Linked DNA regions of Oryctolagus cuniculus. The protein of the gene in region 1 interacts with the protein of each later gene in a pairwise test. Links are inferred from orthologs where the notes say so. Each region holds a gene or a part of one and is shown in the gene's direction. Other genes may lie near its edges.

Region 1 (3,500 bases):
AGATTAGTAGTAAGTCAGATGTAAAAGGGTAAACACTTGGGATCGCTACCTAAACCAGCCATGGGGAAAGCGTGCCGGGTTAAACAAGAATCCGTTATGCCATTTGGTAGTCGGTGACCTAAAACTGGGGGACTGGAGTTTGTTTCTGATTCTGTAGAAGCAGGTAGTGTAGCCCGGTCAAGTGAGTTTATTTCGGTGCCAGTTCTGAACGATGGTCACCAAGTGAGAGCCACTAAAGAGTCTGGAAAACAACTCCCAGATGCTCAGAGGGAAAATATTTGAGATGAGAATAGGGAAGCCATAAGCCGAATCACTGCTGTTTGCCAGCGATCGGAAAAGACCCATAAGACTGTACTGGTGCACAGCCGGGAAACAGAACTCTTTGCCCAAAGGCCGGGGGCTTTCCTCTGTGTTGCTTCCCCAGGGCTGTGGGGGAGGCCGCCTCCCCAGGGATGGGAAAGGACGAGCAGGAAGGGCAGCGGGGCCAAAGGAGCCGGCACTGGTGGCGAGCATGCTGTCGGTCTGCCGGCGTTCCTCCGGCACTCAGCTCCTGGGACCCATGGTTGTCCCAGGCACTGCCGTGGGAGCTGGGATGCCTCAGGTTTAGATCCGTCTGCTGCTGCTCGCTCGTGGCTAAATCCGCCCCGGCCCGCCTGCTCCTGAAAGTGAGGTTGAGCTCGGCACTCTCTGGAGACTGCCCCAGCTCCCGCAGGCAGCTCTGTGGGCCAGGAGAGGTGTCATGGCAGCATTTGTGCAGTGCCAGGAAAACGGCCCAGGGCTTGGACAGCCGGGCCAGACCCCCGCTAGGCTCCACTCAGTCCTCAGCAGAGCGGCCCTAGGGCGTACAGTTCGGAGCAGGGGCTCCCGGGCGGGCAGGACCCTCTCGGGCAGCTTCCCCTGCAGGTCAGTTGCACGCCGCCTCGGCAGCTCTGCCGCAGCTCCCTGCACCTCCTGTGCTTCCTTGCCTGTTTTTATTTTTATGTTACTTGTTTTTCCAGCTTTATTAGAGTGTGATTGATAAATAGTGCTTGTGCTTGGGACATTCTAGTTGAGTAGGAGAGAGCAGATAAGGCAAAGAGGGATCAGCCCTTGGCTTGGCGCTGGGACCATTGCAGCCCGATTCTTGAGTGGGGGCTGCTGGTCCCCCGCGTGTGCCCCTTAGCTTCTGGGGAGGGAGGATTGTCCGACTTCTTCCCTCGCGTTTCACTGTGAAAGGGGCAGAACCATCCACATCCCTTGTTTTCAGGATGGAAACAGATTTGAAACCCAGGACTTTCCTGGAAAGGTGACCACCTTTGGGTCTGGGGCCTTGGCCCCTCGTTTTCTCTCCCACTTGCCTGGAGTGGATGGATTACCCGCCTGCGCCAGCCTCGGGGTGGGGCAGGGCCTGGGGCTGAGGGCGTCCCTGCTGCCACAGCTGGATGCAATTATGCCTGGATTCAGCCGGCTGCCCCCTCTGTGTCGCCACACCGCCCCCCTTCCTCTGACAAAGCAAACAACCAGAGAGGTGCGGGATTCTTCCCCTTGCAGTGTGTGTGTCCGTGCCCCTGCCCCAACCCCAACCAGGGAAGGACCATTCTGTGCTGTCTCCCAGTGGCCGGGTCCGCTTCTCCAGCAGGCTGGTGTCGGACAGGAAAGCAGACGCAGCACCCAGGAGCCGGGGCTGCGGGATGGCCCCAGCTCAAGCTGCTGGATTTTAATTGTTCCCTCTCTTTTCTTCTCCCATGGCAGAGAAGAGACAGGACAATGGCCGGGTGTATTACGTGAACCATAATACACGCACGACCCAGTGGGAAGACCCTCGGACCCAGGGGTAAGGGTTTTGGGAGTGAAGGGGGCTGGGCTGGGCCTGTGTGCAGCTCCAGCATTGGCCAAGTGGCCTTGGACCACTTTGTCCTGCAGGGCTCCTGCTGGGGACCTTTAGCCACACACATCTCCCCATCTAGTGTCAGCCTCTGAGAGCTTGGAAGTGGTCCCTGAAGTAGACCTTTCCGCTGGCGGTTGTCGCTGGTCTGTATGCCGCTGGTACTGGCTGCTGAGAACTTGATCACAAAGAGGTTGTGGGTACGTCCATCCAGCACTGCCAACGTGCAGGGCCTGGGCACTCAGCCACCGCCGTCCACCCGGGGCTGGATTTTTGGCCTTGGGATAGAAGATGGCTTCTTTACACCCATGACTTGGATCATGCCAAGTGCATATCCTAAATCCCCCTTGTACCCCCAAGGGCTGTGTAGCACTGGGTGAAAGCAGAGACAAAGCAGCACTTGGGAGACCCCGGCCTCCTGTGCACTGGGGCCCGGAATGCGGGGCCTGGCCTTCACCCCGTCCCTCCTGTTTGCAGGATGATCCAGGAGCCGGCACTGCCGCCGGGCTGGGAGATGAAGTATACCAGCGAGGGCGTGCGGTACTTCGTGGACCACAACACCCGCACCACCACCTTTAAGGATCCTCGGCCAGGGTTTGAGTCGGGGTAAGGATGTCAGGACGCCCAGCAGTGTCCCGTCAACGCGGGCTCCGGGAGGCCCACTGCTGGACGGAGTGGGGACCCCTAGACGTGCTCTGCTGCTTACTGCCCCCTAGCGGCCAGTGCTGATGGCAAGCTGAAGGCCGCGGGCAGCAAGGGCTCTCCCCGCCTTTGGCTGCCTGGTGTTTGTCAGAGCAGGACTCTGTCGTCGTTTCTGGATTCTGTTTTTTGGCTTTTCAGAGGCCTCACTGGCAGTCCCTTCTCTCCTATTCCTTACTCCTCGCCTTTAAGTTAACACGGCATCAGCTTTGCTGGGCTAATGGAGACAGGTCGCTCAGTTCCCGAGAGCTCACCTGGCTTCCGGAACACCTTTCCTTTCCAGGACGAAGCAAGGCTCCCCTGGTGCCTACGACCGAAGCTTCCGGTGGAAGTATCACCAGTTCCGCTTCCTCTGCCACGTGAGTTGTGCTCCCGGGACTCCCGCGGCAGGTGGGGGCATCGAGTCACTTCAGCCTCCTTCCCCAGCCCAGCGTGGGCACAGGACTGCGCGTGTGCCACCACAGCTGGTTGTCCCCACGGGGCCAGGCTCTCACGTGACAGCCTCGGGGCCGGGCCGCCTACCCTGGCAGGTGCGCACCAGGTAGGCCGGTCACCCGGAGGCCTCAGTGTGCGGCGTTCTCTTCTCTTCCCAGTCCAATGCCCTGCCCAGCCACGTGAAGATCAGCGTCTCCAGGCAGACCCTTTTTGAGGATTCTTTCCAGCAGGTTAGAGAATCAGCCCGGTGCCCAGGTTATGACCATGAGCCTGGGGGCCGTGTCTGTGGAGGGGGCGGGCCTGAGATCCCTCCTACCCCTTCCTGCCGTGGAAGGGTGAGTGGCAGGCGGGCCACGATGCTCTGTCTCCCCAGATCATGAACATGAAGCCCTACGACCTGCGCCGCCGGCTCTACATCATCATGCGTGGCGAGGAGGGCCTGGACTACGGAGGCATCGCCAGGTGAGCTCAGGCGTCGCCGCCGCCCCGGCTGCCAGCCCGC
Region 2 (3,500 bases), on another chromosome or scaffold:
ATGCAAAAAATAATGCACTGCACACGTAAGTAACTTTTATTTACTTATTTTTTTTTAAAGCCAGCTTAACTTTATTTATTTATTTATTTATTTATTTATTTTTGACAGGCAGAGTGAACAGTGAGAGAGAGAGACAGAGAGAAAGGTCTTCCTTTGCCGTTGGTTCACCCTCCAATGGCCGCAGCGGCTGGCGCGCTGCGGCCGGCGCACAGCGCTGATCGGATGGCAGGAGCTTTTCCTGGTCTCCCATGGGGTGCAGGGCCCAAGCACCTGGGTCATCCTCCACTGCACTCCCTGGCCACAGCAGAGGGCTGGCCTGGAAGAGGGGCAACCGGGACAGAATCTGGCACCCCAACCGGGACTAGAACCCGGTGTGCCGGCGCCACTAGGTGGAGGATTAGCCTAGTGAGCCGCGGCGCCGGCTTTATTTACTTATTTTTAAAAATTTTTTTTGACAGAGTGGACAGTGAGAGAGAGAGACAGAGAGAAAGGTCTTCCTTTTCTGTTGGTTAACCCTCCAATGGCCGCCATGACTGGTGCTCTGCGGCCGGCGCACCGCGCTGATCCAAAGGCAGGAGCCAGGTGGTTCTCCTGGTCTCCCATGGGGTGCAGGGCCCAAGCACTTGGGCCATCCTCCACTGCACTCCCGGGCCACAGCAGAGAGCTGACCTGGAAGAGTGGCAACCGGGACAGAATCTGGCACCCCGACTGGGACTAGAACCCGGTGTGCCGGTGCTGCAAGGCAGAGGTTTAGCCTATTGAGCTGTGGCACCAGCCGTAAGTAACTTTTAAAGTCTTACTTGAACCCAGAGTCATAGTTATTGTTTCGAGAAGTATTAGGAGCCTGCTGTGTGTCAGGCTAGCATAGGGGAGCACAGCAGTGAGAAAGGCAGACCTGGATTTTTCTCCATGATGCTGACCGTTGCCCACCCACAGTTGTTTACCTGGCTAGGCAGTTTTGCTTAGAGTCCTCTTTTTGATACGCTGCCATAGCATTTTTTAAGGTCTGTGTTTTTCTTTGCTGATACTTCTATAGTAATATAATTTTAGCAGACTGTTAGAAAAATCATATAGGCTTATGGACACATTAGTATTATATATTAGCATTATGTATTCTAACTGGAAAATGACAGTTTTATAAATCAGGTTCCCAGAATACATTTGAAGAGTTTCTAAGCTATTTGTCTCAATTATATATATATATATATATATACATATATATATTTTTTTCTTTTTGACAGGCAGAGTGGATAGTGAGAGAGAGACAGAGAGAAAGGTCTTCCTTTGCCGTTGGTTCACCCTCCAGTGGCCACCGCGGCTGGCGCGCTGCGGCCAGCGCATCACGCTGATCCAAAGCCAGGAGCCAGGTGCTTCTCCTGGTCTCCCATGGGGTGCAGGGCCCAAGCACTTGGGCCATCCTCCACTGCACTCCCTGGCCACAGCAGAGAGCTGGCCTGGAAGAGGGGCAACCGGGACAGAATCCGGCGCCCCGACCGGGACTAGAACCCAGTGTGCCGGCGCCGCAAGGCGGAGGATTAGTCTAGTGAGCCGCGGCGCCGGCCTGTCTCAATTATATTTTAATATGATTCAGTGTAACCCTTGGTGTGAAAGATCTCAAACCTGATTTATTTTCCATTCTAGAAAGTTATTTATGCATTTGTTTTAAAGACAAAGGACAATTAGGAATTTATTTTTCCATTTAAGATTCTTAGGTAGTACATAGTGCTGTATGCAGAGGTTAACATTATTTTTTAAGGTATTATGAATTCAGTAAAACATCTGTGTACTTTTAGTAATAATAAGATTTGAGATTATATACAAGGGTACTTCAAAAAGTTCATGGAATATGTGTGTTATTTTAAAACTGTGCATATATTCTAACTTTTTTTTGTACCAAAATAAGCTTATTAGAGCAAATGTTTAATGATTATGAAAGTGCCTGGGTTCCATTCCTGGCTGAATCTCTTAACTCCTGGTAGCATGGAGGCTGGCAGACAGCAGTGATGGCTCAAGCATTTGGGTTCCTGCCACCCATGTGGGAGACCAAGACTGTGTTCCTGGCTCTTGAATTTGTCCCCAGCTCTGGCTGCTGTGAGCATGTGGAGAGTGAACAAATGGATGGGAGTCAGTCTCTGTCTCTTCCTCTCTCCTCTACTTCTCAAATAATTTTCAAACGTTAAAAAAAAGCTTGTCTTTTAATTCTATTGTTGCATGAACTTTTTAAGTACCTGCACATATATGGATAATGTCTATGCCTGTCCTGTGTGCCACAATGATTCAAGGCTATGGCAGAAATCAAGCAAGAACCCGATACAGTGTGTTCTGTGTTCTTTCTCTATCTTCCTTGTTACTGACATTGGGATTGAGATGCAGTGTATGTATAAATATCTTGTTAAGTCTTCCTTTTAGTGGGATAGGCTAACTAGAATGCCCCAATATCACACAAATATGTGTCCCAGGTGATGCTTGATGCTGTGTTTTTTAGACCCCTCCACATTGCTGCACGCAATGGCTTGAAGGTGGTAGTCGAGGAGTTGCTGGCCAAAGGAGCCTGTGTGCTTGCTGTAGATGAAAATGGTAAGTGGAAAAAATAAACATTACTGCCTGTGTCTTCCATATGCCGATGGAAGCCAGAGGAAAATGAGAGAGGTTGGAGCTTATGAACAGGCAGTAATAATTCTCTCCCTCTTGAAAGTCCCATGTGTGTGAGAAGTCCAGCAAGGTTAATTTGTCCTGTCTGTCATTTTGTAAAACACATGGTCCACCTATAGCCCACCAGTGCTATCCATTCTGCATGTGTCAGCAGTTGGTCTCTAACTCCTCAGCGTGGTGGTTAAAATCATTTAGACTCACTAAAATAAAAAAAACTTCCAACTTGGCATTCAGAATTCTAACTGCATACACTGAAGAGTTAGGGATTACACATGTCATTAGTGCATGCTCAAGGGCTCAGATAAAAACCTAGGTTTTTGATTGTATTTCAATTCATTCTGAGATCAAACCATTTTTTTAAAGTCCAGATCAGAACTCATATTCCCAGTATGGAAATTTAGGGAACATGAATAAAAATTTTAATTAGTGTCCAGGCTTGAAAGCTTCTCCTGATCTATATAATGCTTCTTTTCTAAACGAGCTGATTCTTAACAGAAGCTTTCTACTCTGCTTCCTAAGAAATTTTGAAAACTAATGAATCCTAGAATTGTACTAAGCTACCATTTAAGCATAACACCTATTAATTAACCTTGGGGAGCAAAAGAGGAACTTCTGGATATTTATGAATTAAGTGATTTTTAAAAATGTGGCATTAATTGTGGCATTTAATTAAAGCATTATAATGTATTAATATAACTCAATTAACTGCTTATTACAGGTATTGGAATTAGCAGCTCATGCCTATTTCTCAGAAGTAAGCAGCCATATTGCCATCAGTAGCTAACTCTTAGTAGTTTTGTTTCTGCAGCCCCATTTACCCAGCATGTACCCTGCTCCATCCCCAACAT
Region 3 (3,500 bases), on another chromosome or scaffold:
CAGTGACGGCAAAGCCGAGAAGTCCAGGCAGACAGCCAAGGTATCTGTGCTCAGGTCCTCCCGCAGCATGCTGGGGGCGGGTGTTGTGGGGGACTTCCTGTCTGGCAGAGCAGGCCCAGTGGAGGCTTGGGAGGCGGAAGACAGAGTTTTCTCTTTCCCTCTCACAGAAGGCCCGAGTAGAGGAAGCCTCCACCCCAAAGGTCAACAAGCAGGGCCGGAGTGAAGAGATCTCAGAGAGTGAAAGTGAGGAGACCAATGCACCAAAAAAGACCAAAACTGAGGTGGGGGACCCTTCTGACCTCTGGCCTGCTTTCTGACCATTCTTCTTCTTCTTCTTTTTTTTTTTTTTTTTTTAAGATTTATTTATTTGAAAGACAGGATTACAGAGAGACGAGAGAGCTTCCACAGGTGCTGGTGTTGCAGGTGGCAGCTTAACCCGTTCCACTGGCCCCTGTTTTGTGACCATTCTTTTCCTCAAGTTTCTTTAGCTCACCATTCCTACCTTAAAGCCTCCTGGGAAATAAGAACAGCCATCTCTTCGTGCCTACCAGCGTGGTCCTGTGAGCTGTCAGGCAGATGTAGGGCTTTGACTGCTAGAGGAGCAGGCAGGGCCTCTGGGGGACTGTAGCCTCTGAGTGAGAGGAACACGTAAGCCAAGGGAAACACAGAAGTGGTCCTGTAAGAAGCACCAAGGGTCTGGGGATGATGACAGGAGAGGAGGGTGGGTGTGAGATGGTGTAGGACAGGGATTCCGAGTCAGTCGTGGGTGGGGAGGGTGCGTGGGGTAGACACTGGAAGAGGGAGTCGGGTTGTACAAGGAGGGAAACAGGTGGCCTGTTAGGGGCGCCTGAGGATGCCAGGAGAGTGAGGATTCTCCTTTGACCAGGAACACTCTTCACAAGTCGGTGCGTCATGTGCTGTGAGAGGCCCCGCTGTTGGGAGACAGGAACTGAAAAAAGAGGCAAAAATGGCTTTCCCTACAGCAGGAGCTCCCGCGGCCACAGTCTCCCTCGGATCTGGACAGCCTGGACGGGCGGAGCCTCAATGACGACGGCAGCAGTGACCCTCGGGATATCGACCAGGACAACCGAAGCACGTCCCCCAGCATCTACAGCCCTGGCAGTGTGGAGAATGACTCCGACTCGTCTTCTGGCCTGTCCCAGGGGCCAGCACGCCCCTACCACCCGCCTCCACTCTTTCCTCCTTCCCCTGCACCACCAGACAGCACCCCCCGGCAGCCAGAGCCTGGCTTTGAACCCCATCCTGTGACACCCACTGGATACCATGCTCCCATGGAGCCCCCCACATCTCGAATGTTCCAGGCTCCTCCTGGGGCTCCTCCCCCTCACCCACAGCTCTACTCTGGGGGTGCTGCTGGAGGGGTTTTGTCCGGACCTCCAATGGGTCCCAAAGGGGGAGGGACTGCCTCTTCAGTTGGAGCCCCTGGTGGGGGAAAGCAGCACCCTCCACCCACTACCCCCATTTCAATATCAAGCTCTGGGGCCAGTGGTGCTCCCCCAACAAAGCCACCTACCACTCCCTTGGGTAGTGGGAATCTGCCCGCTGCTCCACCACCCGCCACTTTCCCCCACGTGACACCAAACCTGCCTCCCCCACCTGCCCTGCGGCCTCTCAACAATGCATCAGCTTCTCCTCCTGGCCTGGGGGCCCAGCCGCTACCTGGGCATCTGCCCTCCCCCCACGCCATGGGCCAGAATATGGGTGGACTTCCTCCTGGCCCAGAGAAGGGCCCGGCCCTGGCGCCCTCGCCCCACCCTCTGCCCCCTGCATCCTCCTCCTCCGCCCCAGCCCCCCCAATGAGGTACTCTTACTCATCCTCTTCCAGCAGCTCTGTGGCAGTCTCCTCCAGTTCCAACTCTGCCCCCCAGTACCCAGCCTCCCAGGCACTGCCCAGTTATCCCCACTCCTTCCCCCCTCCCACAAGCCTCTCTGTTTCCAATCAGCCACCCAAGTACACTCAGCCTTCTCTCCCATCCCAGGCCGTGTGGAGCCAGGGACCTCCTCCCCCTCCCCCATATGGCCGCCTTTTAGCCAACAGCAATGCCCATCCTGGCCCCTTCGCGCCTTCCTCTGGGGGCCAGTCCACTGCCCACCCACCAGCCCCAGCCCATCACCACCACCACCAGCAGCAGCAGCAGCAGCAGCAGCAGCAGCAGCAGCAGCAACAACATCACCACGGCAGCTCCGGGCCGCCTCCCCCGGGCGCATACCCCCATCCTCTGGAGAGCAGCAGCTCCCACCACGCCCACCCTTACACCATGTCTCCCTCTCTGGGTTCTCTGAGGCCCTATCCCCCAGGGCCGGCACACCTGCCCCCACCCCACAACCAGGTGTCCTACAGCCAAGCAGGCCCCAACGGCCCCCCAGCCTCTTCCTCTTCCAACTCCTCTTCCTCTTCTCAAGGTTCCTACCCCTGTTCACATCCATCCCCTTCACAGGGGCCCCAGGGCGCGCCCTACCCCTTCCCACCGGGGCCCCCGGTCACCACCTCTGCTACCCTCTCCACGGTGATCGCCACCGTGGCCTCCTCGCCAGCAGGCTACAAAACGGCCTCCCCGCCTGGGCCGCCACCGTACGGAAAGAGAGCCCCGTCCCCAGGGGCCTACAAGACGGCCACCCCGCCCGGATACAAGCCGGGGTCGCCGCCCTCCTTCCGAACAGGGACCCCTCCGGGCTACCGAGGCGCCTCACCGCCTGCCGGCCCGGGGACCTTCAAGCCAGGCTCACCTACGGTGGGGCCCGGGCCCCTGCCACCTGCGGGGCCCTCAAACCTGTCATCTCTGCCGCCGCCACCTGCGGCCCCTAACTCAGGGCCCACCCTGAACGCCGCGCAAATCAAACAGGAGCCGGCGGAGGAGTATGAGTCCCCCGAGAGCCCGGCGCCCCCGGCCCGCAGCCCCTCGCCCCCTCCCAAGGTGGTAGACATGCCCAGCCATGCCAGTCAGTCTGCCAGGTGAGCGGGCGTCCGGGGCGGGGTGCAGGTGGGGTTGGGATGGGGGACAGAGCAGGGAGACGTGGTAGGGGCCTGGCGGTCTCGCGGTGCTCTGTAAAAGGACACCGTAAACGGCCCTTGAGGGCAGCAGCTCGCTCGCGCGGGCTCAGCTGCGCTACCTCCCGCGCCTGGCAGGTTCAACAAACACCTGGACCGCGGCTTCAACTCGTGCGCGCGCAGCGACTTATACTTCGTGCCGCTGGAGGGCTCCAAGCTGGCCAAGAAGCGGGCCGACCTGGTGGAGAAGGTGCGGCGCGAGGCCGAGCAGCGCGCGCGCGAAGAAAAGGAGCGAGAGCGGGAGCGTGAGCGTGAGAAAGAGCGCGAGCGCGAGAAGGAGCGCGAGCTCGAGCGCAGCGTGGTGAGTGCGTCACGAGGTGCGCCGCCCGCCCCCTATCCCTCCCTCCTGGTCACTGCGCAGCGGGTCTGGGAGGCTGGGGGAGTTACCGCCACCTGTCGGAGAGGAGGAGCCACTACAGTCCAGGAAGTG
Region 4 (3,500 bases), on another chromosome or scaffold:
GCCATCCTCCACTGCACTCCCAGGCCACAGCAGAGAGCTGGACTGAAAGAGGAGCAACTGGGACTAGAACCTGGTGCTCATATGGGGTGCCAGTGCCACAGGTGGAGGATTAACCTAGTGAGCCATGGCACCGGCCCCGTGGCCCATTGCCTTTTGTAGAACACTGACCACACTGAGACCTGGGCCCCACCACAGGCAGTGAGAGATGGTTCCTAGAGGGGAGGCCCAGGCCAATCTTGGGATTAGAACCTCCCAGAGGGGTTGGACTCCATGGCTAGGGTTGGGAGTGACAGGGGATCAGAGCAAAAGCCAGCAACTCACCAGTAAAATGAGAAGTTGCTTAATGGGAAAGACTCTCCTTGGTTGATGCTGAAGCAGCCTTGCTCACAGTGAGGCTCTTCTGGTCCTGGGGATGGCCACTGTGACGTCATTCCTTCTGCAGCCAGGTTGGAAAAAGCACCCCGTTTCCCCTGGAAGAGATTCTGCGATGGTTTAGGATCTGACATGGGACCTGTTCTTCCAAGCCTGTGGCCTTCAGCAAGGCCCAGGTCACCCCAGCTCGGGTGTAAGCTGGCAGGGTTATCCCACAGTCAGGCAGGCAGCGCTGGGGGTTTCACTCTCTAGCTAAGGCCCACAGCGGGGAAGCAATGCCTGTGTTGTTTGCTGAGGCTTGTTAAGTTTTGGAAGGCTGGTTCATGGGGGTTATGCTAATTAAAGGCTGCAGCCGGGCCCTTTGGAGGGGACAGAAGGAGCCCCTAGGTCGCTTTGGTTGAAACAAACTTTGTCAGTCATTGGTGAGCAGTCTCCAGTTAGGGCCAGAAGAGTGGCTTCTTGGAATCGCTCATGGCCTTGGTTGGAGGAAACCCATGGGCAAGTCCTGCTCTCAGAGTTGCTGTGGTTTGATGGGGTTTGTCCCTTCTAAACTCATGTTGCAGCCTGTGTGCTCTGGTGGTGCTGTGTGGAGGTGGGGCCTCTGGGGTGTGTGGGTCATTGGGAGGGGCCCCTGCCTTTCTTTTGGGGCTGGGTTCATCTGGCAGGCCTCGATCAGGTCCCCTGGAGAGCGCATTGTTACAGTGTGACACTGCCCCTGGTGCTGTGTCCTCCACATGTGGCCCCTCACTCTGCAGCCATTGTCACTCTTGCCAGATGCCACCATGATGCCCTTGAACTGCCAGCCTCCAGAACTGTGAGCCCAAATCACCTTCACTTCTTCGTAGATCCCTTGGTCCCAGGCATTCTGCTAAAGCAACAGAAGATGGACCAAGGTAGAGGAACAGATGTCTTTCAGGCTGTTCTTGCCAGGAGCCCCGCCCCATGACTGCCACTTCTCCTTGGATGGGAGGCTGCACTTGCTAGGTGTATGTTGTTGACCCAGAACCTTCTCCCTTCCCTTTCGGGTCAGGCAGGGAATGTGTGTGGTTCATGACCAGAGGAACGTACAGGAAAAGGGGGCAGAGCTTTCCTGCGTTTTCCTTCAGACTGCACAAGTCTCATTTTTTTTAAATCCCAGAATTCCAGAACTTTGTTGTTAGGAAGAAAGACCATCACAACTTTTTCAACTTTTTGCCTCCACCCATCAGACTTCAAATGAGCACAAAGAAGGAAATGAAGTGATCATAAATTCAGTCACCTGCATGCATCTGACCCCCAGAATCCGGCTTTTTATCAGGCTCTTTGAGTTTTTCCCTTTTTTGTATCTCAAGAACAGATGTTATACTTTTGCTATTATCTTATTTTTTTTTTCATTCTCTAATGCTCCATAGCCAGAATGAAGGTTTTCTGGATTTTTGTGTGTATTTTTTTGCAGTAATTATTTTAAATTTCATGTTTTTCATTATCTAGTTTCTTATTTTGTGGAATTATCCATGAACATTGGCAGGAAATCTTCCAGATTTAAAAAAAAATTTGCTTGAGGGTCTGTCACACATAGGACAACAAACAAACAAAAAACTCCCTCAAAAAACAACCCTTTCCCCCAGAAAATTATCTAAGAAGCAGTCAGGGGTCGTGGTGGAGGCAGTTTGGAAGTCTAAACGTCAGTAATTTGTAGATGATGAAGAATTGGTAAATATAGCAAATGTAAACAGTGAGCGATAAAGAATCCTCATGTATTCCCAGGCCCAGAATGGGAGAAGGAGAGGGGATGAGAGAGAAGAGGGGAGGAGGAGGCTGTGGGGAGAAACTCACTGACCCTAGAGAACAGCGGCTGCGGTTCTGGTTAAGGTAGCAGGGTATGGAGTGGGCTTCTCCCTGAGGTTCAGCTTCTCTGCACCCACATAGTTTGTTTCAGCTGTGAGACCTCTTCCCCTTGTTCATTCCACTCTTGGGTGTGCTTCTCCCTCTGTTGGTGGTGGTGGGGTTCCTGTTACAAATGAGTGCCAGCCTATTGGCCACCTGGGCTGGGTTCAGGAGCCAGCAGAGTACAGACCTGTGCTTCCCACCGCAGCCCCTGGCTTGCCCCTGCCCGCAGCCCTGTGGGTGAGAGCGCCCCCTGTCCACGGGGCGGGCCTGGCGGGCAGCTCCTGGGGGAGCTCCGTGGCTGCGCCTGCTGTCCCCGCCCCGGCTCCGAGCTGGGACGTGGTTCACTTCTTGCTTTATGTTAACTCACCTTTCAGGTATTTCTTTGGCAAACGGTGAGTCTGCCGTGTAAGGGACGAGAAACTGCTCAGGTACTACTGTAAGAAGCTGTCCTCGGTGTTGAGCAATTCACGTAATAGGAAATTAACCCCTTTGCAGTGTGGAATTCAGTGGCAGCACCATGCCTCCAACACCTCCATCTCATTCGTTTCCTCACTTCCAAGGAGACCCCTACCCAGTGGCAGTCACGCCCCTTCCTGCCCTCCCCAAGCCCCAGGGAGCCCCTGGTCCCTTTTCTGTCCCGTGGATTGGCGTTTGTGGAGGCGGAGGGAGGGGTGGGGCGGACCAGGTGGCTGAGGTGGGGACCGGGGAGCGCCCCTCGTCCTAAGGGGCCGATGGCCGCCCGCACAGTGGGCTTCCTCACGGCGGCGCCATGCTGTTCCTAGGATGGCCGCCTCTGACATCATCCCCGTGCCGCACATCTATGGAGCACGAATCAAAGGCGTGGAGGTGTTCTGTCCCCTGGACCCGCCGCCCCCATACGAAGCGGTGGTGAGCCAGATGGACCGGGAGCAGGTACGGCGCTGCGCAGCCCTCACGCAGCACCCCGGGGGCCTCACGGGGCTCTGCTGCGGGTAAGCTGACGGCAGCACAGTAACCTTCTTCTGTCCCGCTGTTCAGGGACCCGCATTCCGGATTCCAGAAGGGACAGAGACTGCTACAAGCCCGCTGGAAGTGGTCTGTGCCCAAGTGACTCAAGGTAATCCCGCGTCATCACTGTCCCACGTCATGATCCAGTAGATTAAAGCACAGCAAAATAATAACCAGTTTGCTATTTTCTTAGAGGTCGGAAATTCTTGGAGTAAGGCTGGCGTTGTGGCATAGCAGGTTAAGTTGCCCCCTGCGATGTTGGCATCCCACCC
Region 5 (4,268 bases), on another chromosome or scaffold:
GGTGTCAACCAAGGGGGGAGGAAGGGGAGAATTTTCCAATACGGAAATACACAAATTCTTATTTTTAAACCTTAAAACTCATATAAACGGCATCACTCACCGTCCAAACCGTGTTCAGATTTACCCTTTCCAGATTATTGCTCCGGAGTCCTTAGACATTGCCTTGTCAACTAAAACCCAACCCAGTAAAATTTCACTTCCTCCAAAACAGCAAGGCCGAGTATCATTTATTGTGACTCCCGGGCTCCATCTACCCAAACATACTACGCAGAAGAATCTAAAACGTATGGACACAGCCGTAGCCAAAAACCTTCCCAAGAATTCCTGGTTACGTATATGTGGCTTCAGATTCCCATCTTTTTCTGTCTTTCTATAGCTCTCCTGACAGCAGCTCTGCGGAGGCCAGTAATCTACACGAGTTTGTGCTGTTACACTCTGCATCCCAGTGGGGCGTGACGCAGGCTCTGCTATTTCTTACCGAAACACTCACAATCAAAAAAGACAAATGTACCTATTAGGATGCACGGGAATGACTAGGCTGAACAGTCCAGCGGACAACCGCGGCTCCGCAGAATCCGCATCCTCACTGATGCTAAGAATTATGCTTTCCACACGCTGCATCTCGCTCCTTCAAACCATCGCTCGCGCTCCAGCAACTCCCCACCAAGGCTGTGCGCCGAGCCGCCACCGTGCCACCTGCCTTCTGCAAGGTGGCACTGTGGACGCGAGGGCTGCAGCCGCGCACCCTGCACCCTGACTCCGGCCACGGCTGGCGTCCCTAACAAGGACCTCGGCTTCCTCGGGGGAAGCGGGCCGCCTGCCCCCAACGTCGCCAGCGACTCGCTCGGGGTAGCCGGAGCCGGCACAGCCCCCCGAGGGGACGGGACCTACGCCTCTTCCTCGCTGCCTTAGGGCGTCCGCTCCGCAGGCCCCCTTTTGGCCTCCAGGGAGCTCACTTCCACCCCGTCTACAGCCATCTACGGACGCGCATAAAATCCACGCCGAGACTGCTCTCGTCTGTGACCACGATTCCTGGCCCGGTTTTCAGGACTTTTTTTTTTTTTCCTCCCGAAAGTCGTTAGCTCAGGCTCAGCCACCCAGCCGCTGGCCCGACCGGTTTCTCCCCCTTCCTCCTCCTCCCAGGCAGGCGGCGGGCGAATCCGCGCAGCGCCGCTAACGCGTGCGCCGGCCCGGCCGCCCCTCCACGCGGCCCGCGGTCCCTCAGCGCCCCGCCGGCGGTCGCTCTGTCAGAGGCCGCCCGGCCAGCGGCTCCGGGGAGCACGCCGGGGCTTTCCGGCAGCCCGCCCGCCAATGGGAGCCCACAATGCAGCGAAGTCCGGCCGGGCCTCCCGGCAGCGCCCGTGCCGGCTTCCCCGGCTCCACGCCTACTGTACCCGCGCGCGTGCCCGGCGAGGGCGCGAGCGCGGCGCGGCGCGGCGCGGCGGGGGCGCGCGCCCGGGGGGCCGGCGGCCGCGGCGGCGTGCGCGTGCGCACTGGGGTTGTTTTTCACAAAGCTGCTCTTAAAGTGAGCTGGCAGGCTCCGGCCGCCCGTCTTTGTAAGGAGACCACTGAGACGGGCGGGCGCGCGGAGCCGCCGCCGCAGCCTCTCTGCTGCCCTGACTTTTAAGAGCTCTCAATGAACTGTCTGTAAGGAGCTACTGATCCTGCCTGCAAGGGTTTGCATTTTTGCACGGCAGAAGCATCGATCAGTGTTGAGTGAAGATCCCATTTTATATGCGATCTTGACTTTTTTGGGGGTCTTACATTATATTTTTTATAGATTTTTGTTATCAACATGGTGCTGGGGAAGGTGAAGAATTTGACAATAAGCTTCGACTGTCTGAATGACAGCAATGTCCCCGTGTATTCCAGCGGGGATACTGTCTCAGGAAGGGTGAATTTAGAAGTTACTGGGGAAATCAGAGTAAAATCGCTTAAAATTCATGCAAGAGGACATGCGAAAGTACGCTGGACGGAGTCTAGAAACGCCGGCTCCAATACTGCCTACACGCAGAACTACACCGAAGAAGTAGAATACTTCAACCATAAAGACATCTTAATTGGGCACGAAAGAGGTAAGTTTTCCTACCATTCGGCAGTCTGCAGGCTGGCTTTCTCGGGTGGACGTGGTTCTCGCAGCGTAGCTCGGCCGTTTGCTGGAGGCTAGCAAAGTTGCGAGGTTTGGGTTCTCCTTGACGGGAGGCTGTAATGCGTGCCGGCATCTGCAAAGCGACTGCAAACTGCACCTCGTCTCCACCACCCCTGGACCCGGCTCGGGCTGTGCCATACGCACTTGCGGTCCATTTGCACCTCACTCGGAAATTCTGCTTGCCTCCGAGTCCATGATTTTACTGCTACGTTTTCAAATGAATTGATGAAAGCTGCGGTCCGGCATCAGATTTTTAAAATTTTTTCCTTTTTCTTTGCAACCTTAGCTCAAAACCTGAGCTTGAAGGAAGGAATGAAATAACATTTTAGGAGGGTTAGTAGATGTGTTTCCTTTTAATATTAACGTGCAAAGGACTTTATAAGGAATTGATCATTGTTCTTTGAGAGAGGGTTTCCCTGGCTTATTTTGACATATGGTATTACCAACACCCCACGTGTTTTTTTTTTTTTTTAACCTCTTCTTTCCAATGCTTTGGGAATTTTGCATCAAGCATTCCTTATTTTAAAAGACAGTATCTATCACCGTGGCCGGTGTTCAGTCAGGTTCAGAAGCCATTCAGGGCCAGCAGTTTCTTCTCCAAGCATCATGTCTAACTTTGGAACGTGCATTCAATGAAACCCTGCCAGTCCAATGGAATTGAAAAGTAGACCGCACACTGGACTTGATTTTTGGTTAGAAGGGGGAGATGGAGGGTTGTCAAAGGGAGAGGGGGTCCTGAGATTTCCCCTCTATTGTTTAGATGGCTACATTGTGGAAATATAGGAGACTCTAAGCTTGTTTTTCTAAGTTTCCACCCTTTGTTAGAAGCGGTTCAATCCTGTTTCGGACCAGTTCTGGGGGGTGGTGAGGAGGGGCGCTTGTGCAGCTCTCAGCAGATTGGTTACACGCGTCAGGTGGTGGCGATGACTTAATTCTAGCCCAAGAAGAATATAATGTTAAAACTGGTTATGTAATTTTGTGCTTCTCCTTTTTAATGCAGTATTTAGTGCAAATGCTGACTTTTTCAGAAAGAGGCTCGCTTTTATCTGCGTTTTTATATTCAAGATATACATCCCAGGGAAATGCTAATTGAATTAAGGGAAGGGAGAAATAAAGGAAGCGTTGAGTTACAGCATTATTGCATTTTTTTTTTAAATGCTCAGGTGAAATCAGTTCTTCGGCAGGGTTTCCACAGTTCACCTAGGTGGTTTTGCATCTTGAAGTAATTTCTAGTTCATCTTCCCAAGCGTTAACTCTGATAGGAAATGCAAAGCGCCTGATGACAGTTCTGCTGTGTGCTGCAAAGCGCACACGCGAGTTTGATTTCGAGCCTTTTATAAAATGAGAAGAAACAAAAGGTTTTTCTCTCAAGAGTTGAGCCTTGCAGTGAAGGGAAAGTAGAACAATGCGTTGGGGCGGAAAGCAAGGTCGTTAGCTGCACCTCGACTTCGTGGTGAGGAAAACCGAACGCCCCGCACCCAGCCGGGCGCCCCCCGAAGCCGGCCACGCGTGGACGAGCTTCTGCCTGGAGTAGTTTCAATGACTTTAGCTGAGAGCTCTCACACGAGCCTGGCAGCGGAGGCCCCGCCCCGGGCGGCCGGCGAGGGGCGGGGCCAGGTTTGTTAGCCTGTTGCTAAGGCGATGCCGGGCGCTGATTGGATTGGGCCGGCGCGGGTGGGGAGAGTGGGCTCCGGCCGGCTGGGGCGCGGCTTGGAACCGGCGTGCGCCGGTAAAGGTCCCTCCCGAGCGGCCGCCCCCGCCCGCGCTCGCGCGAGTGCGTTCCCGGGCTTCCGTGGGCTCCCGGGGCCCGCGTCGCGGCATGCCCTGCTGCTGTCCCTCTCTCCGGCCTGTTGGGGCCACGAGGGGGACGCCTCGTACGGGGCGCCAGCCGCTGCCGGCTTTCACAGGTGCAGAGTCGCCCTGGGCGCAACTTTTGGCCAGAGACCCTCGTAGAGGGGGCTGGCGTGAGGAGAGCGAGCGGGACCCCCGAGGTCGCGGGCGACGTGTCGGAGTGGCTCCCTTTCCTCTCGGCTGCCACAGACATGTGCCGACTGTCCAGTCAGCAGTCTGGCTACCTTGACGTGACCTGAGGGGGAGTCTGGCACTGGCTGGCCAGGGC
Region 6 (3,932 bases), about 40 Mb from region 1:
TGTCCGGGTGGCTGCAGTGGCACTGTCCGCTGGGTCGGTGCGGTGTGGGGCCGCCCGGCCGCGCGGAGCTTCGCGGGCACACCTGCGCTGCCGGTGTGCTGCACCTGATCCGACCCGAGCCTGGGGGTGTATCTGCGCGGCGCGCGCCTTTGTCTGCTCCGCTGGAGTGTGGCGGGTGTGGGCCTTGCGTGCCTCGGCTGTGTGTCTGACTCCGGGTTTGTCCGTTTGAGTTAGAGGCGACAGGTGGCGCGGCGTTAGACGCCGGGGAACTCGGGCGTCCGTGTTTATTAGCGGGAGGCCCGATCCGCGTCTCTGAGCCCGTCGGCCAGGTGCCCCGGACAGCCATGCAGAGGGTCGGGGAGGGGACAGCCGCTCAGTGCGGGGCTCTACCCGGAGAGGGGCGGCTCCACGGCCTCCGCGAGGCTGCGGTCGCGGACAGAGGCCCCGCGAGGCGAGCTGGCCAGGGGATGGACACGCGGTTTCCTTGACAACTTTTCTCTCGTCGCTGGCCTAGCCTCTAGTATCAAACCTGCAGGACTCGCCAAAGTTCCGTTTTTCATTAAAAAAGTAATAATAAAACAGCCGAGTTCCAGATTATGAATAATATATCTGTTTAATATCTACTCCATATGCCTCCCTCTACGGCGAAATTTGTGAGGCAAGCCTCTGAAAAACGGCCAATCCTGTTAGCTTTTCCTCAAGCGACCCATCTCTACCGGCCCTCAGTGAGATGAGACAATAAATGCAATTGGTGGACAGATTGTTTTGAAACCGCCCTAACGGCAAGGGGCGGGTCCTTCGTGAATTTTTCTCTTTCCGGTTTCTTAAAGGCAACAGGAAGGAGGGGTTTCTACCGACCCTCGTTTTGATTGGTTCTAGTGACTTTACCCGCTCGTACTCCTCAAGGGGCGGGAGATGTAGACAAATCAGAATGTGTGTTGCAAAGACACTTAGCTCGATGAAAGGACTTCGCAGGAAAGGCGGGGGGGGGGGGGCGCTCATTTTGAGAGCCCAAGGTTGATTGGACTAAATCGTTACTCCCCTTTTCTCATTCGACCTTACAGCAGCGGGCGCGCGGGCGCCATCCAATCAGCTGGCGCTCCGCCTTCTGCCTTTTCCCGCCCTCCGCTTGGGCCGCGTCTTCGACGTAGGCCAACGCTTCCTCCCTGGCTGCTCGTAGGCCCTCTCACTGTCGTTATTTTGAAAACTGTGCTCTAACTGGCTGAGTCTCCGGGCCCGCGCCCGTTGCCCCCGCGCGCTGGCCAATTGACACCCGTGTTGCATCGTACGGCGCACTGGGAGGGGGAGGTGGCGGCGGCGGCGGCCATTTTGAGCCGCCGCCGCCATTGGAGTAGCCCCCCCCCCTTTCCCCCTTCGCCTCCTGACAGGAGAGGTTTAAGGGGGACAGAGCCCTGGGAGGCCGGGCCGGGCTCGGGGGCCGCCCCGGGGGCCCGGGCCATGGATGTACGCCGTCTGAAGGTGAACGAACTTCGCGAGGAGCTGCAGCGCCGCGGCCTGGACACTCGCGGCCTTAAGGCCGAGCTTGCTGACCGGCTGCAGGCTGCGCTGGAGGCCGAGGAGCCCGACGACGAGCGGGAGCTCGAGGCCGACGACGAACCGGGGCGACCTGGGCACAACAACGAGGAGGTCGAGACCGAGGGGGGCTCCGAGCTGGAGGGGACCGCGCAGCCACCGCCGCCCGGGCTGCAGCCGCACCCGGAGCCCGGCGGCTACTCGGGGCCGGACGGACATTGTGAGAGTGCGCGGGGCGGGGGCCGGGGAGCCTGGAGTCTGGGCCAAGATAGGGCTGTGGGACGCGGGAGTCCGGCGCCCGAGGTCGGGGACTTGCTGTGAGGATCGGGGGGTCCTGCGATCGGCCGCCGCGAAGGATCTGGGGACCGGGGCCTCGGGACGGCCGGCGGGTGGATTCTGGCATTCGGCGCGGGGGAGAAGCTGGGGGTGGGCGCTGTCGGTGTCGGAAAAGAGGTGGGTCCAGGGAATGGGGAGGGTTCTGGACCTTAGGGCTCGGAGACCGGAAACCGTGGTTTTTGGAACCGAACGGAGTCGGAAGAAAAAGAGGTTTTCTATTTAGGGGCTTGGGGAGAGGCTTGGAAATGGTGATCCTGGGGTTTGCAGCAGGGTGGGCTGGGCGTTAGGAGCCGCGTTTCCAGCTTCGGGACGGAGAGGCCGGGGTCCTGGCCGGAGCGGCTGATAGGGTCCTGAGGTGGGTTGATGAGATGGAGGCACTGGTGTCTGTGCGGTGGACTGGGTGCTCTGGTGTTGGCCGGAGAGCCGTGAGGGGATGTGGGAGACCAGCTTGTTCCACGGGGGGACCCACCTCTCTTCCAGGCTGGGAGGCCAGCCGAGAGGCAGGCGCACCTTGGGCACTGGGTGCTGGGCGATCCGGGGACCTTGTGGTTGACTGCCAGAGGCGGCACCAGGAGCCTTGGTGTCCTGAAGCTCGTGGGGGCAGGAAAGATGCTTCCCTGGACAAAGGACCCGGGAGCCTGGGACTGGGCAAGCTCTCCGGGCCGGAACTCAGTGGCTGTGCTGAATGGTCCTGGTGAACGGGGCAGCCGGGATAGGACGGGCGCAGAGAGCAAGCTGGTAGTGCTTGAATTTGGTGAAGTAACCGAGGGACAGGGGATCCTTGTGTCCAGCACGGGAGTGTGTAGCTGTCTGGGAAGATGGGGGAGGGGGAGTGAGTGAGTAATGGAAGGAGAAGGCAAGCCTGTTGACTTGGTCCCCGGGGGCCTCGGGGTGTTGTTGGGGGGAGAGGTGGGGCTCAGCATCTCCCGGTGAGGGTTCCTTGGTCCCCAGAAGCAGTTACTTGCGTGCCCAGGGAGTATCTGCATCAGCCAATAGGAGTGAGTGTGGGAGTGGAGGGATTAGGGTAGGCCTGCAGCTGTTTGAGGAGCAGAGACCTGGCATGGCAGAGAGTGAGTCTGGAGTTAGCAGAGGGCGACTTTTTTTCAGCACTGGGACTGCAAAGATGGGAGGAAGAGAGGTTAAGGGGGAAGGACTGTGGTGTCCAGGGCTTCTGGGGGGTCTGTGGAAAGGGCACCCTGGGGCTGGGGGGAGAAGGTGAGAGGAGAAATGGGGCCATGGAGGAGACTTGGGGTTGGCACTGGGTCCTCGTTCACGAGAGATGTGGCAGCCTGCGTGTAAATTTGGAGTGGAGAACAGCCCAGTGACTGTCCAGGACCCAGGTGCTGGCAGCGTGCGTGGCGTGGCAGAGACCTGGGAAGGAAGAAGTGGCCCGGCGAGCTTGTCTGTAGAGTGGGAGCCCCCAGTGGGGCAGAGTTCCGGGAGAGCAGGGTGGTTGGATGCCTCGGCACGCAGCCTCTAGACTGTTTCAGGTTCGGCTCCGTGACTCGGGCAGGGTGCTTCATCTCCGTGCGTCTGGTTTCCTTGTGTGTAAAATGGGGTTACAGGGTTGTTAAGAATGAAGTCACGCGTGAAGGGCCTCTCCCCAGGTCCGCCTGCTGATGAGGAAAGCGGCGTTTAGGGGATGGAGAGGCACCCCAGCATCTTGGCTCCCTGGGCAGGCTGCTCCGGGCCCAGAGGGATGCTTAGAGAGGCTTGAGGCTCTGGGGCACACACTGCCTAGCGCCTGGAGGAAGCAGCTGGGCTGAGAGGACCTCACATCCCAGGGAAGATGACGTTCCCTCTCTTCCTCTCGCCCTGCCCTCTGCACCAGAGTCCTTTGAGTGCCCTCCACACCCCTGCGACCCTCCCTCAGCCTTGGTAAACAGACCTGTAAGGCACCACGTGACCTGAGACTTTTCTCCCTTTGGGCCGCACCAGGTTTGTGCCCAGATGTGTTTGTCCTCTGAGAAAGCATCCAGTCAGTCAACAAGTGGCAGGATAGGCTCTGCTTCCCCGTGGTTCTGCCTCACTGCTGCTGGCACAGCCGTGAGGAGGACTCGGGA
Region 7 (3,960 bases), on another chromosome or scaffold:
GTGTGCCCTAGGAACATGTACGGTCTTCTTTTTAAAATTGTTTTATTAAACTTTTCTAAAAGAGTTATTTATTGGAAAGTCAGTGACAGAGAAGAGGGAGAGAGGTCTTCCGTCTGCTGGTTCGCTCTCCAGATGGCTGCAATGGCCAGGGACTGACCCAGGCCAAGCCCACAGGAGCCCACATGCGTGGCAGGGGCCGTGCACTTGGGCCACCTTCCACTGGTTCCCAGGTGCATTAGCAGAGAGCTGGATCGGAAGTGGAGCAGCCGGGACTTGAGCCAGGGCCAGTGCCAGAGCCAGAGGTGTCGGTTAAACCCACTGTGCCAACAGCCCCACCATCTTTAAAAAAAAAAAAATTAAAAACCGAATTATTTGAAAGGCAGAGTGGCACAGCCAGAGAGAGGGAGAGACATCTCCCATCGACAAGTTCACGCCGCAGGTGCCCCCAGCAGCCAGGGCCGGGTCAGACGGAAGCCAGGAGCCGCGAGCTCCATCTGTGTCTCCCACGTGCGTGCAGGGGCTCAGGGCCAAGCTTCCCCAGGCGCGCGGGCAGGGAGCTGGATCCCAAGGCCAGCTGCGGGGACTCGGAGGGGCACTCGGATGTGGGGTGCGGGGGCCCCGGCCCAGGCTTCGCGCTACTTTGCACCGAAACCAAACGCACTTCTTTCTGACTCCAGGAATGATTTAAACAAGAAAAAAAAATTTTTTTTTTTTTTTAATTCATACACTACCCCGTTACAGGCAAATGCTAGCAGCAAGGGCGTCCAGCAAATACTCCCTCAGGGCTGAGCCACGCAGGGAGGTGGCAGATTCTGCCTCTGTGGTCAAGCACGGGGGGGGGGGGGTATAAACGAAACGCTAACAGCAGCTTGGCAGGTGCAGCGCCCCAGGAAGACGCGCGCGGGCCGGGGGCCCAGGGAGGCTGTGGCTGACGCTGCTAACAGCAGGCAGTGGGCAGGGGCAGCGGTCCGGGACCGCAGGAGGAGGCCAGGATGGCTGCAGAGAGGCGCGCAAAGCGCAGGGGAGCTGGGGACCGAGCCCTGCGAGCAGGCGGAAGCCAATGGCGGCTTTCTCGGTTGCTCCGCGCCCGGGCAGCGCCACACCCAACATGGCCGCCGAGCGAGGGCCCGCCCGGGCGCGGACGGAAGTGCGTTCCGCGGGCGCCGGAAGTGGCCGAGGCCCCGCCCCCGGCCGCGGTCTCTGGTGAGCCGCGGACGCCCCGGCTTGGAGCATCCCTGGCGGGGCCGGCTTCGGTTCCCGGGGCCGCGGCTCCAGCGGACACGGCCGACCGGCCCGCAACATGGCGAGCTCCGGAGAGGTACGGGCCCGCGCCTGGCGGCTCTGCTCGCTGCCCGCCCCGAGCCCCGGCCACCCTGTGTCTCCTTTGCCTTCTGGGCCCCTGCCCGGCTGGTCCTGCCCGTCCCGAGCTCTGCTCGGCCGGGGCCTGACCTCGCCTCCCTGGCCTCTGCCCCGTCCCGCGCGCTGCCCCTGGCGGCACAGGCCGGCCCCCGGCCCTCTTCGGCCGCCCCCAGGCCCCGGCCCCGCGCTCCTGCGCCGTGGGTCCGGGACGCGGCCGCTCCGTGCCCACTGCCCACCCGCGTAGTGCATCTCCGGGTGCTGCGTTGGCCTCCGCCGCCCTCCTCCTCTCTGAATTGGCGCGAGTGGAGGAAAAGCCATTTCACCTGGAGGCTCGGGACTCGCGCTGGGGCCCCTTCCAGGCCGCTCCGCGAATCGGGGGTCTCCTGGAGACCCTGGTGGCTTCCTGCCCACCTGTGTGCGCCCCTGCTTCTGTCTGTCACTCGGGGACTCAGACCGTCCCGCGTGGGTCTCAGGGGCTTGCCCGAGTTCTAGGGAGCGGGAAGGAGTCGGAGAGTGGAGGGGAAGACGGCTGGGGGCTGCTGCCGGCGCCTCTTTATCTGGACTGAATTTGGCTCGGAAATGGCCCCTCGCTTGTCAGGAGCAGTACGCGGGCCAGCTGCAGAGGGATGACAGAATTGCCGGGGCAGAGCCCGCTGGGGAGGGGCTCTGGGGCAGCCCGGCCGGGTCGGTGGATCGGGCTTGGTGGCGGTGGGGTGCGGCGGGGGGCGTGGGGGGCCTGTCAGCTGGGTGTTGCCGCGTCCTGGCCCTGCGGGTTGCCCCGGGGGCTTCTCCTGGGTGGAGGAAAGATGGGAGCCTGGTGTGGCTCGGCGCCCCCGGCCTCTGGGAAGCTTTGCCCATTCATTGCGATATAGTTCTTTCATTGTGTGATTGACACTTGAGAAACTTCTGTCTGTGTATCCGAAGGACACTCACACACGCACACACACCTCCGTCTGTGGCTCAGCCTCCGAGTGTCTGTTAGCCAGGAGCCTCAAACAGTCTGGGGTCCCGGTGGGTGAGGGAGACTCGGGTACTCGGGCTGCGCGTGGTCTGGGGCCTCCCAGGGTGCATATTGGCAGGGAGCTGGAGTCAAAGGCAGAGCCGGGACTCCAACCCGGGCTCCCCAAGCAGGTTCTCCTTTCTGCTGTTTTGTTTTGTTTTGTTTTTCATTTGACAGGTAGAGTTATAGACAGAGAGAGAGACAGAGAGAAAGGTCTTCCTTCCATTGGTTCACCCCCAAATGGCTGCTACGGCTGGCGCACTGCGCTGATCCGAAGCCAGGAGTCAGGTGCCTCTTCCTGGTCTCCCATGCGGGTGCAGGGCCCAAGCACTTGGGCCATCCTCCACTGCACTCCCTGGCCACAGCAGAGAGCTGGCCTGGAAGAGGAGCAACCGGAACTAGAACCCGGTGCCCATATGGGATGCCGGCGCTGCAGGTGGAGGATTAACCAAGTGAGCCACGGTGCCGGCTCCCTCTGCCCTTTATTTGAGGGAGAACAGAATCCCATCCCTGGTTCACTTTGCAAATGCCTGTGATGAATCCGGGAGCCAGGAACCCCATCCGGGTCTCCCCACTTGGGCTTGCAGCTGGGCAGTGAACCAGGGAATGTGGACATCTTTCCTAGTGTCTTTTTTTTTTTTTTTCAAGATTTATTTATTTGAAAGGCAAAGTGATAGGGAGACACATGTCTTCCATCTGTGGGTTCATTCCCAAATGCCTGCAACAGGGGCCAGCATTGTGGCGCCAGTTCTTACCCAGCTCCCTGCTACTGCACCCGAGAAAACAGTGGATGATGGGCCAACTGCTTGGGTCTCTGCTGCCCATCTGGGAGACCCGGATGGAGCTCCTGGTTTCAGCCTGGCCCGACCCAGGCTGTTGTGGACATGTAGGGAGTGAACCAGCAGATGGAAGATCTATGTCTGTCTTTGTTTCTCTTGTCTTTTCCTCTGCCACCTTGTCTTTCAAACAAACAAACAAATAAAAAAGTCTTTTAAAAAATGTCTGCAGCGGCCGGCGCCGTGGCTCACTAGGCTAATCCTCCACCTTGCAGCGCCGGCACACCGAGTTCTAGTCCTGGTCGGGGCGCCAGATTCTGTCCTGGTTGCCCCCTTCCAGGCCAGCTCTCTGCTGTGGCCAGGGAGTGCAGTGGAGGATGGCCCAAGTGCTTGGGCCCTGCACCCCATGGGAGACCAGGAAAAGCACCTGGCTCCTGCCATCAGATCAGCGCGGTGCGCCGGCCGCAGCACGCTGGCCACAGCGGCCATTGGAGGGTGAACCAACGGCAAAGGAAGACCTTTCTCTCTGTCTCTCTCTCTCTTTCATTGTCCACTCTGCCTGTCAAAAACAAACAAAACAAAACAAACAACAAAAAATGTCTGCAGCAACCCAGCCAAAACCAGGAGCCAGGTACTGTCCAGGTCTCCCATGTCGGTGGTGACAGGGCCATCATCCGCTGCTTTCCCAGGTGTGTTAGCAGGAAGCTGGATTGGAAGTGGAGCAACCAGGACTTGAACCAGTGCCCACATGAGACACTGGTGTTGCAGATGGGGGTTTAGCCACTGTGCCACATCGTGGGCCCCACAGTTCAGGTTTTTTTCTTT

What was found.
Region 2: the proteins of WWP2 (region 1) and ANKRD44 interact in binary tests that used the Homo sapiens proteins (3 or more experiments, as listed by UniProt). The two-hybrid records come from large-scale screens. The link is inferred for Oryctolagus cuniculus from reciprocal best matches to the Homo sapiens genes WWP2 and ANKRD44.
Region 3: the proteins of WWP2 (region 1) and ATN1 interact in a two-hybrid assay, tested with the Homo sapiens proteins (2 studies listed by BioGRID and IntAct). The link is inferred for Oryctolagus cuniculus from reciprocal best matches to the Homo sapiens genes WWP2 and ATN1.
Region 4: the proteins of WWP2 (region 1) and ENTREP1 interact in binary tests that used the Homo sapiens proteins (3 or more experiments, as listed by UniProt). The link is inferred for Oryctolagus cuniculus from reciprocal best matches to the Homo sapiens genes WWP2 and ENTREP1.
Region 5: the proteins of WWP2 (region 1) and ARRDC3 interact in binary tests that used the Homo sapiens proteins (3 or more experiments, as listed by UniProt). The link is inferred for Oryctolagus cuniculus from reciprocal best matches to the Homo sapiens genes WWP2 and ARRDC3.
Region 6: the proteins of WWP2 (region 1) and HNRNPUL1 interact in binary tests that used the Homo sapiens proteins (3 or more experiments, as listed by UniProt). The link is inferred for Oryctolagus cuniculus from reciprocal best matches to the Homo sapiens genes WWP2 and HNRNPUL1.
Region 7: the proteins of WWP2 (region 1) and FBXL18 interact in a two-hybrid assay, tested with the Homo sapiens proteins (3 studies listed by BioGRID and IntAct). The link is inferred for Oryctolagus cuniculus from reciprocal best matches to the Homo sapiens genes WWP2 and FBXL18.

Annotation. Positions count from the first base shown.
Region 1 is NC_091449.1:53,024,632-53,028,131, forward strand, and holds part of WWP2 (NEDD4-like E3 ubiquitin-protein ligase WWP2), read left to right. Parts: intron 1-1,731; coding exon 1,732-1,813; intron 1,814-2,341; coding exon 2,342-2,470; intron 2,471-2,846; coding exon 2,847-2,922; intron 2,923-3,156; coding exon 3,157-3,228; intron 3,229-3,371; coding exon 3,372-3,460; intron 3,461-3,500. UniProt on the Homo sapiens protein: E3 ubiquitin-protein ligase which accepts ubiquitin from an E2 ubiquitin-conjugating enzyme in the form of a thioester and then directly transfers the ubiquitin to targeted substrates.
Region 2 is NC_091434.1:43,296,597-43,300,096, forward strand, and holds part of ANKRD44 (serine/threonine-protein phosphatase 6 regulatory ankyrin repeat subunit B), read left to right. Parts: coding exon 1-25; intron 26-2,485; coding exon 2,486-2,577; intron 2,578-3,370; coding exon 3,371-3,406; coding exon of another isoform or gene 3,407-3,432; exon of another isoform or gene 3,433-3,476; intron 3,477-3,500. UniProt on the Homo sapiens protein: Putative regulatory subunit of protein phosphatase 6 (PP6) that may be involved in the recognition of phosphoprotein substrates.
Region 3 is NC_091440.1:102,606,731-102,610,230, reverse strand, and holds part of ATN1 (atrophin-1), read left to right. Parts: coding exon 1-40; intron 41-167; coding exon 168-281; intron 282-983; coding exon 984-2,974; intron 2,975-3,148; coding exon 3,149-3,371; intron 3,372-3,500. UniProt on the Homo sapiens protein: Transcriptional corepressor. Recruits NR2E1 to repress transcription. Promotes vascular smooth cell (VSMC) migration and orientation. Corepressor of MTG8 transcriptional repression.
Region 4 is NC_091432.1:161,049,366-161,052,865, reverse strand, and holds part of ENTREP1 (endosomal transmembrane epsin interactor 1), read left to right. Parts: intron 1-3,023; coding exon 3,024-3,153; intron 3,154-3,258; coding exon 3,259-3,337; intron 3,338-3,500. UniProt on the Homo sapiens protein: Functions as an activator of the E3 ubiquitin protein ligase ITCH in the ubiquitination of the CXCL12-activated CXCR4 receptor. Thereby, triggers CXCR4 endocytosis and desensitization, negatively regulating the CXCL12/CXCR4 signaling pathway.
Region 5 is NC_091445.1:14,128,087-14,132,354, reverse strand, and holds the start of ARRDC3 (arrestin domain-containing protein 3), read left to right. Parts: upstream 1-1,468; 5' UTR 1,469-1,795; coding exon 1,796-2,075; intron 2,076-3,887; exon of another isoform or gene 3,888-3,968; coding exon of another isoform or gene 3,969-4,056; intron 4,057-4,268. UniProt on the Homo sapiens protein: Adapter protein that plays a role in regulating cell-surface expression of adrenergic receptors and probably also other G protein-coupled receptors.
Region 6 is NC_091449.1:13,345,315-13,349,246, reverse strand, and holds the start of HNRNPUL1 (heterogeneous nuclear ribonucleoprotein U-like protein 1), read left to right. Parts: upstream 1-1,132; 5' UTR 1,133-1,458; coding exon 1,459-1,753; exon of another isoform or gene 1,754-1,986; intron 1,987-2,011; exon of another isoform or gene 2,012-2,224; intron 2,225-3,932.
Region 7 is NC_091450.1:39,433,334-39,437,293, reverse strand, and holds the start of FBXL18 (F-box/LRR-repeat protein 18), read left to right. Parts: upstream 1-1,160; 5' UTR 1,161-1,300; coding exon 1,301-1,318; intron 1,319-3,960. UniProt on the Homo sapiens protein: Substrate-recognition component of the SCF (SKP1-CUL1-F-box protein)-type E3 ubiquitin ligase complex.